Linked DNA regions of Coturnix japonica. The protein of the gene in region 2 binds, or shares a complex with, the protein of the main gene of each other region. Links are inferred from orthologs where the notes say so. Each region holds a gene or a part of one and is shown on either strand. Other genes may lie near its edges.

Evidence for each region.
Region 1: the proteins of BMPR2 (region 2) and INHBB are in contact, whole or in part, in a crystal structure (PDB 7U5O), measured with the Homo sapiens proteins. The link is inferred for Coturnix japonica from reciprocal best matches to the Homo sapiens genes BMPR2 and INHBB. Residues at the interface, in NP_001195.2 of Homo sapiens: Tyr40, Tyr67, Leu69, Val80, Lys81, Trp85, Ser86, His87, Ile88, Gly89, Asp90, Gln92, Ile108, Gln109, Tyr113, Phe115; in NP_002184.2 of Homo sapiens: Phe309, Asn318, Asp319, Ile322, Ala323, Pro324, Gly326, Tyr327, Tyr328, Thr379, Met380, Ser381, Met382, Leu383, Phe385, Asp386, Asn390, Ile391, Val392, Lys393, Asp395, Ile400.

What each region holds. Positions count from the first base shown.
Region 1 is NC_029522.1:21,362,791-21,366,693, forward strand, and holds the start of INHBB (inhibin beta B chain), read right to left. Parts: upstream 2,325-3,903; 5' UTR 2,099-2,324; intron 1,983-2,098; exon of another isoform or gene 1,748-1,982; 5' UTR 391-1,747; coding exon 1-390. UniProt on the Homo sapiens protein: Inhibins and activins inhibit and activate, respectively, the secretion of follitropin by the pituitary gland.
Region 2 is NC_029522.1:10,293,224-10,297,034, reverse strand, and holds the start of BMPR2 (bone morphogenetic protein receptor type-2), read right to left. Parts: upstream 3,104-3,811; 5' UTR 2,846-3,103; coding exon 2,773-2,845; intron 1-2,772. UniProt on the Homo sapiens protein: On ligand binding, forms a receptor complex consisting of two type II and two type I transmembrane serine/threonine kinases.

The DNA.
Region 1 (3,903 bases), about 11 Mb from region 2:
GCTGATGATCTCGGAGACGGGGTCGTGGGCCGGAGGCCCGGCGCTCGCCTGCCCGTCCAGGCTGGGGATCTCGACGCGGCCGTCCTCCCGCACCTTGCCGGCGTGCAGCTTGCGCAGCGCCGTGACCATGGCCGCCTTGGGCACGGCGTGCGTGATGTTCGGCCGGTCCCGCATCTGCAGCCGGCTCAGGATGTGCCTCTTCACCGCCTCCAGGAAATCCCCGTCCACCTTGCCCGGCTCCTCGGGCCGCCGGAAGCCGCAGGAGGTGCATGTGTCCTGCGGGGAGCCCCCGGCGGGAGCCGGCGGGGTCGGGGTGGCGGCGGCTCCCAGCAGCAGCAGCCCGCAGGCCAGCAGCGCGGCCAGCACCCCCCGGCGAGCCGCCCCGTCCATGGCGGAGGAGCGGGGGGCCGAGCTGGGGCCGGCCCGGAGCGCCGCAGGGAGCCCGTCTGCAGGCAGCGCCGCTCCGAGCGCTCCGCGGCGCGGAGGGGGCGGCGGCAGCCAAGCCGGGGGCCGCAACCGCTCCGCGCGGGGAGGGAGGGAGGGGGGCCCGGGGAAGCGGCGTGTGCCGCCGGGGAGGCGGAGGGGGGGAGGCCGCCCGCGCAGGCAACCGAAGTTGGGGAGGGAGGGAGAGAAAAGGGGGGGAGGGGGGGGCGGCGGGGCTGAGCGCACCGAGCGCCCGGCTCCGCGGGGGAGGGGGACGGCAGCAGGTGAGGGGGTGGCCGCGCAGCCCGGGGAAGGAGGGAGGGGGAGCGGGGCCGGAGGTGCGAGGGGAGCCGGGGAGCTGGGGGAGGCGGCGCCGCGCTGCCCCGGGGCCCCGCGGCGCTTCAGAGGGGCATCCCCGGGCGCCGCCGCTCGTGGTCCATCGCTCGCTTCGGCAGGGTCCGGGCGGGCCGCGGAGAGAGCTCTTTAGTCCGGCGTCATTGAGGGGGGTCAGGGAGATAACCGAAGCAGATTTATATACAATCCAATTTATAGCCTGGAAGGAGGAGGGGGGGTGGGGGGGAGAGATGCCACTTGTACCCCCCCGCCCACTCCGCCCCCGCAAGACAACAATCCACAGGCCGTGGGTGCGGGTCTCTGTGCCGCTCCGCTCGCTCCGCTCGCTCCTTCCTTCAGCGCCCGCCGCTTCCCGACGCGCCGCCAAAGTTGACGCGGAGCACCGCCGGGGCGGGGGCCGCGGGCGGCGGGTGAGCGGCCGACGGCTCCACGGTGCCGAGGCGTCTCCCCGCGACGGCGGGATCGGGAGATCCGCTCGGAGGCTCCGGAGGATGCGGCGGCGGCGGCGGCGATCCCCGCTCGGTTCCGCAGCGCTGCGCGGGGACTCAGCGCGGTGCCGGCGGTCCCGGGAGTGCTGCGCGGATCCACTCGGTCAGCCCGGCGCTGCGGCTCGCTGCCTCGCTCGCTCTTTTTAAACAATATCTCCTTTGTTGGTGGTTTGGGTTTTTATTATTATTATTATTATTATTATAAGTATGATTTTTTGTTGTTGTTGTTGTTGTTGCCGCCGCCGCTGCTCCAGTTAATCTGTCTCTCCCTCTCTCCCTCCTTCTCTCTCTCTCTCTCCGCGTCTGTTTGATCTCCGCTCACCGTGCGCCGGCTCCAACGCCGCGTTTTGTTTTGGTTTGGTTGGGGCTTTTTTTTAACGCGTCTGATGTTCCCTCGCGGCTCCGCAGTGGAAGGGCTCGGGGAAGCGGCTCGCTCCTCGCTCATCGGCCGCGCGTCTCCTCCTGCTCATTTCCCCCCCACCCTGCAAAATCACGACATTGTGGCACTTTCTACTGAAACTTTTATACAGGAGTTAAAACCACGTGGGAACTCCAACCTATAACAGAGCCGCCGTGGGTTCCTCACTATTTGGGAGATTAAGTTAAGTCTTTTGCCCCCCCGGGCTATTACAGTAACTTCCTTATGCGGAGCTATTAACTGCGCTGTTCCTTTAACTCCCCCCGTCCCTCCCGGTTCCCGCACACACCCACCGCACCGCATCGCGCCGCACGGGTCGACCCCGGCCGGGAGCTGGGTGCTCCCCCACCCCCCTTCCCCGGGTTGTTCCTTTGCCTTTTAAGCACTTGAAAGGAGAAGGCATTAGAAAGTTTACCGTCGGGTTGCTTTTGCGACGGGGCGGGTGTGAGCGTGCGTTTGGCTCGGCGGGGCGGGGGCTCGCTTCGCCGCGGGGCAGCGCGGTGCGGGGAGGGGAAGGGGACATAACGGGACCCCGATCTCTGCGACCGGGTTTCCCTTTGCGGGTAAGCCTCGAGGGCGAGGTAAAGGCTCCGCTTCCCATCCGGCAGCCTCGCAGCCAAGCCCGAGGGCGGGCGGGCCCCCAGCGGCCGGGGTGAGCCGGCCAGGTGCACGCAGCCTCCGCCCCGCCGAGCTGCGGGCGCACCCCGGGGCCGCGCGGTCCCGCACCGCCGCGGGCATGGCCGGGCCGACGGCGCCCCCGCGGGGCCGCGCTGGGAAGCGGCGGGGAGGGGGGCAGCGGGGAGCTGGGGTGATGGGGGGCAGTGCGGAGCCATCGTCCCCGCCGTGGAGCCCAGCATTACAGAGGGCAGCAGCGCGTTTTCAAGGAGACGCCGCTGTTTTTAGAAGGAAAATAAAACTTGGGCCGTGTGTGTGTGTGTGTGTGTGTGCGCTGCGCGGGCTGCTGTCAGCTGTCACTAATAGAAGCCACCCGGGGCATAAAGAGGGTCAGTGAGGGATCAGCTAAAGACAGACGTGCTATCCCCGTACCACCGCCGAGCTTTTCTCTGTCTCTGTATAGACACAAGTGCACCATCGCGTCGCGGTCCCGCTCTGATCACAGCGATTAATGTCAGGGCAGTGTAACGCACCTTACACCGCGGTAAGGGGCTCAGAATTAGCGGCTGCGTTTCGTGCCTCCTGCTAACAGGTTGTGAATGGAAAGCCCGGAATGTAAAAAAAGAAATAATGCTAAAAATCCAATCACTCGGACATCCTGTAAGCTAATAAGAGCACGTGAAGGCGGCAGGCTTAGTGCTTCACAGTAATTAATTTGACAGCAAAGAGCTAACAAGAAAACAACAGCAGAGCAGCAGTGAGTGGTGCATAGAGGTCACTGTCACACCAAAGCTGAGGGTAAACATGGCCATTTTGGTCCATCCCTGCTGCCTGCTGCTTTGCCTTTTTTCCTCCTCTTTCAACAAACTATGGGCATTTTGCTTATTGAGACTTTGGGAAGATGCATCTTCTCCAGCAGCTGCCAACAAACGAATGCACTGATTAACCTTTCCTTATTGACAGTGCATCCAGGGCTTGCTCTGAGGCTCCCTCCCAGAGCAATGAAGGCATCAGGGTTGGTTCTGTGCTTCACTCGGAGATCACAGCTCAGTGATGGAGCCGTAGCGCTCTGTTCTTTTTCAGCCCTCCTCAGCTCTCAGTTCTCTCCCCTGGGCACAGACCTGTTGCTGGCACGCCGCAGCTGAAGGAGCAGCATGGAGGTGGTAGCTTTGCACCCCCCGCCTCCCCCCCATCCTCTGTTTGCTCTGAGCTCATCTGCGTGAGGCTCTGTGTTCACACACACCTCTCTAACCGGCTGCTCACCATCTGACTCAGGGTCATGCATCTCCATACATTAAATGGAGGGGAAACAAGGAAAGGAAGGGCCAGGATGTGTGCTGGGTGGGCAGCACCACTCAGCCAGGATGCTGCTGTTTGAGGTGCAGCACTGAGGGCGCTTCCTGCAGAGATGTCCAAATCTCCTGGCTGAAGTCTGATGCTCATTAAAGCTGCTGGTGTAATGACATGGGGATGCATGCCCTGTCTCATCCTGTGCAAAGCAGTGCGCTCCAATGCACCACACTGCTCCAGTTCTCCCCTTTGCTGTCTTCCCAGGGCAGACTGTGCAAATGCTGCTCTGGGGGCAGCTCTGCGACCCCCAGACCA
Region 2 (3,811 bases):
TCACTCATTTTAATTATTAATTAAAACAATCATATGGGGGGAAAGAAAAAAAAACACTCCTTCAATCCCTATGCAGTTCTTTTCACTCTGAAAATCTTGCAGCCCTGTTGATCCACACATACAGAAGCGCAAGACCCACAAAGATAAAAAGACATTCTGCTCGTTTTAATTCTTACTTCATGTTTTCCACAAGTCATTTACACATTAGACAAAGGAATGTTGTCTGCTGTGGATATGTAGAAAGAAGGAATCGTGGTTTAGTATTGTGTATCACATAAGGCAAGCAAATGAACCACATAAGGCAAGATTAATATCTACTTCATACGAACACCCAAATGAAATTCTTCAGCACTATTGTGGAACAGTTCAAAGGTTCACCAGCCACCTCTCAGGCACAATTAGTGCATCCAGATCCTCCTTAATATAAGGGTGCATAAATATGTCTCAGCTCTAAACAAGATTTAGAAAGAGACATTTCAAGTAACTTGATCAATGAAGAACAAAGTGGCACAAATCTTTTTTTTTTTTTCCTCCACATCCTTTAAAATGCCTCAATCCTTTACCTAAAACTGGTGGAGGTAAAATGCACTCCCCTGTCTAAGAGAATGGCAGCAGTGAAAAATACAACACCTAAATACAAAGCTACCAAGTACTTGTTAGGATGTGGATTTTACAGAGAAAGCCAGCAGCGTTTTTATCCTAATAAAGTCCAATGGGGAAAAAGAGGCAAAGAACCCCACCTGAATCTAATTCTTCATTATATACTCATCTAGCAGAGTGAAGGAAGGACTACCACACTAAGCTCAGGTCTTTACTGAGCTCCCCCAACAGAGATCTCCATATTCTCAAGGCAGAAAGCTACAAACCTATCACAAAAATACTTTCCTTCTGATGTCATGATTTTGCATTTATAAACACTCAGTTCCAAGTACTGCAGAGACACAGCACCCATGGACAGTCGGAAGCACCAATTAACAAAGGGTTTCCAGGCCAGAACCAGTACTATCACTGATGTGAGCATGCAGTTCATACTTTGGGGGGAGGGGAAGAGAAGAAATAATGTTGGCTCTTTCATGAACATAAAAGGGCAGAATTACACATTAGTGTAGCTTCCCCTGTATAGACTGTTTTTTTTTTTCCCTCTGAAATGCAGTGCCAACCTAAAATCAACCATTAGTTACTTTAAGTAAAGCTCAAATCATTTGTGTAATTACTCTTACAGAGGGTTAAGACCAAAGTTTGTATAATGTGGATTGTTCAAATTTCATAATTAAGGAATAAATCACAATGGGAAAATGGGTCCCTATTCACAAACAGCCAAACGAGCCTGCATCATTAATACTCTTGTAACGAGGCAAGACCAGAACTGAAATGTAAAAACACTGTTGCCAGGTCAGGACGGAGGTGAACTGGCAGAACCGTGCGGACGGGCTCACACAGCAACCTGCCCAGCCCTGGGCCTGCCTCACAGCTGTGCTCGCTCTTTCACCGCCCTTCTTCCTCACCATGGCAAAGCAACGAGCAACCTGCCCAAGCGTTCATCTCAAGGAGGAAAAAATCCTGTCCTCCTTTTAATCATTAGTGTTACATTGGAAAGGTTAGGTAGTGGGCACTCTTGATTCCTGCATGCTTTAAATACCAAGAGTTTTGACCTTCAGAAGTCCCTTCTTCCTGAAGAAAAATCACTCCCAGGTAACCAACACAGACACGACAGAGATCAATCTAAAACAGAACAGCCACAGGTAGGGATGATACTGGTAAGATCAGTTGTTTCATGCCAATATCCTCCTGAAAGAGATTTCTAAAGAAGAGGAAGCAAAGAAATCTGGGGCTGTCCAGTTAGAGCAATGAACCAACTGGCTACACACCATGATTTTCTTACAAGGAAGGATTCATTTGTGAACAACACACAGCCACTGAAACAACACCACAAGAACCCAGCCCTGCAAAATTGGATTCTGATTAGTAAATGACAGGAAAGTTGTAGGGGTCTCTCAGAACTGTTGGGAAATACAGTGATGGTTTGGTGGGCACTGATATTGGTGCCTACTGATGGCAGTCGCATTGAGGAGCTCCAACGTGCTCAGCTGTCACCAGGACAGAGCCAAAAGTGGGAGACCAATGCACCTCTCCTCCAAAATCGGGATCAAACATCTCAGGTATCAAACGTGAAGCTTCCAAGCAAAGTTAAAAGTAGGTCCAAGAGCCCCAAAATATGGCTAAAGACAGCCTTAGGATCTAAGCTTCCACGTCCTTGTTTAAAACGAGTTCTCTTCAAGACCTTCCAGCGTTCCTCATCAGCGCTTTGTGCTGCTGGCCTACAACACCGAGCGACAATAGGAGCAGCCCGTTTGCTTCAGATCAGCCCTGGGAAACAAACGTACCTTCCGATGGGTCTGTCACAGGGCTGCAGCACACGCTTCAGGCCCTAAGAGCGCGGATGCCGATAAAATTAAAAATGGCTGTGCCCAGAGATCCCACACTACAACCGGCACAGCTCTGCCGGCGATTAAAATATATATTAAAAACGCCCGCATTACCTTCCCGAGGGCGCGGCATGCAAAACGAAAAGATTATTTCAATTTGGGAAAAATACCCAAGCGAGAAGCCGAGAGAAGCGGAGCCGCACGACACACGCACCGTGACTGCGGATGGCTCATTTACACAATAAAGCACATTCATTCACGCCGCCGGCCGCCCCGACGCTCGGCCCTCAACCCGCACGGAGCCGCGGCCGGACCGCGCCCCGCCGTGCCCGGTACTTGGACTTACCGGCCGCAGCGCCGGAACGAGGGGCGGCGGCGAGCAGGAGCAGCAGCACGAGGTGCCGCAGCGAGGCCGTCATCCTGGGGTGCGGGGGTCGAGGCCGGGTGGGAAATAAAGACACCGACGAGAGGGATTTCCTCGCTTCTCCGGCGGCCGCGGCGCGCTCCGGGCTCACGCCGCGGTCTGCGAAGGCGGACGGCAGGTGAGGGGCGCCGGCTGTGCTGATAGTCCGTCGCGGCGGCCCGCCCGCATGGCTCCGCGGCTCCGGGGAGGACGCCGGCCGCTGCCGCCCCGCTCCGGGAAAGGCGTCGGGACCGCGGCCCGCCTCGGGAACGCGCTTATTTCCCACGCAGCTTCACGATATCGAAGAAGCAGCCGGGTTGGGAAGGAAACATATCCAGACGGGAGGCGGCGGCTGTCACTCACGGCGGCCCCTCGCGCCGCCCGGCTCCGAGGGCCGGGCTGGGGGCAGAGCCGGCCCCGCCGCCTTCACGCGCCCGCGGACGCTCCGCGGCGAGGCGAGCCCTGTCGCGCCGTCTGCGTGGGGGCTACGGCCGCCCCCCGGCCCATCCGCACGCCGCCAGCCGGCTCCGCGGCCCGGCCCTCGCGGCGACGCCACCCCCGGCCGCCCCGACGGAGGTGGGGCGCGGGGCGGCGGGAGCGAGGCCCCTCCTCGGCGGCCCCGGCGCCCGGCCGCGTTCCGCGGAGCTTCTCGCCCCGCGCTGTAGAACGCCGCTTCCTTCTCCTCTTCGTCCTCCTCAGCGCTCCGCGAGCCGCTCCGGCGCCAGCCCGGCCAACCTCTCTGAGCTCCGAGCGGGGCCGGGCGCAGCTGTGCCCGCGGGGCGGGGATCGGCTCGGTCCCTCCGCGCCGCCAGCGCCTTCCCCGTCTCCGGGCTGCGCCGGCAGTGGGCGGTCCCGCGGCTCCTCCTCCCCGTGCCCTCCGAGGGCCGCACAGTCCCACGATCCGCCGCCACTCGCGCCCCCTCCCGCCCGCCGCCACCACCACCAGCGGCCGCGCCTGGCTCCAGACACAAAGGGGACTCGC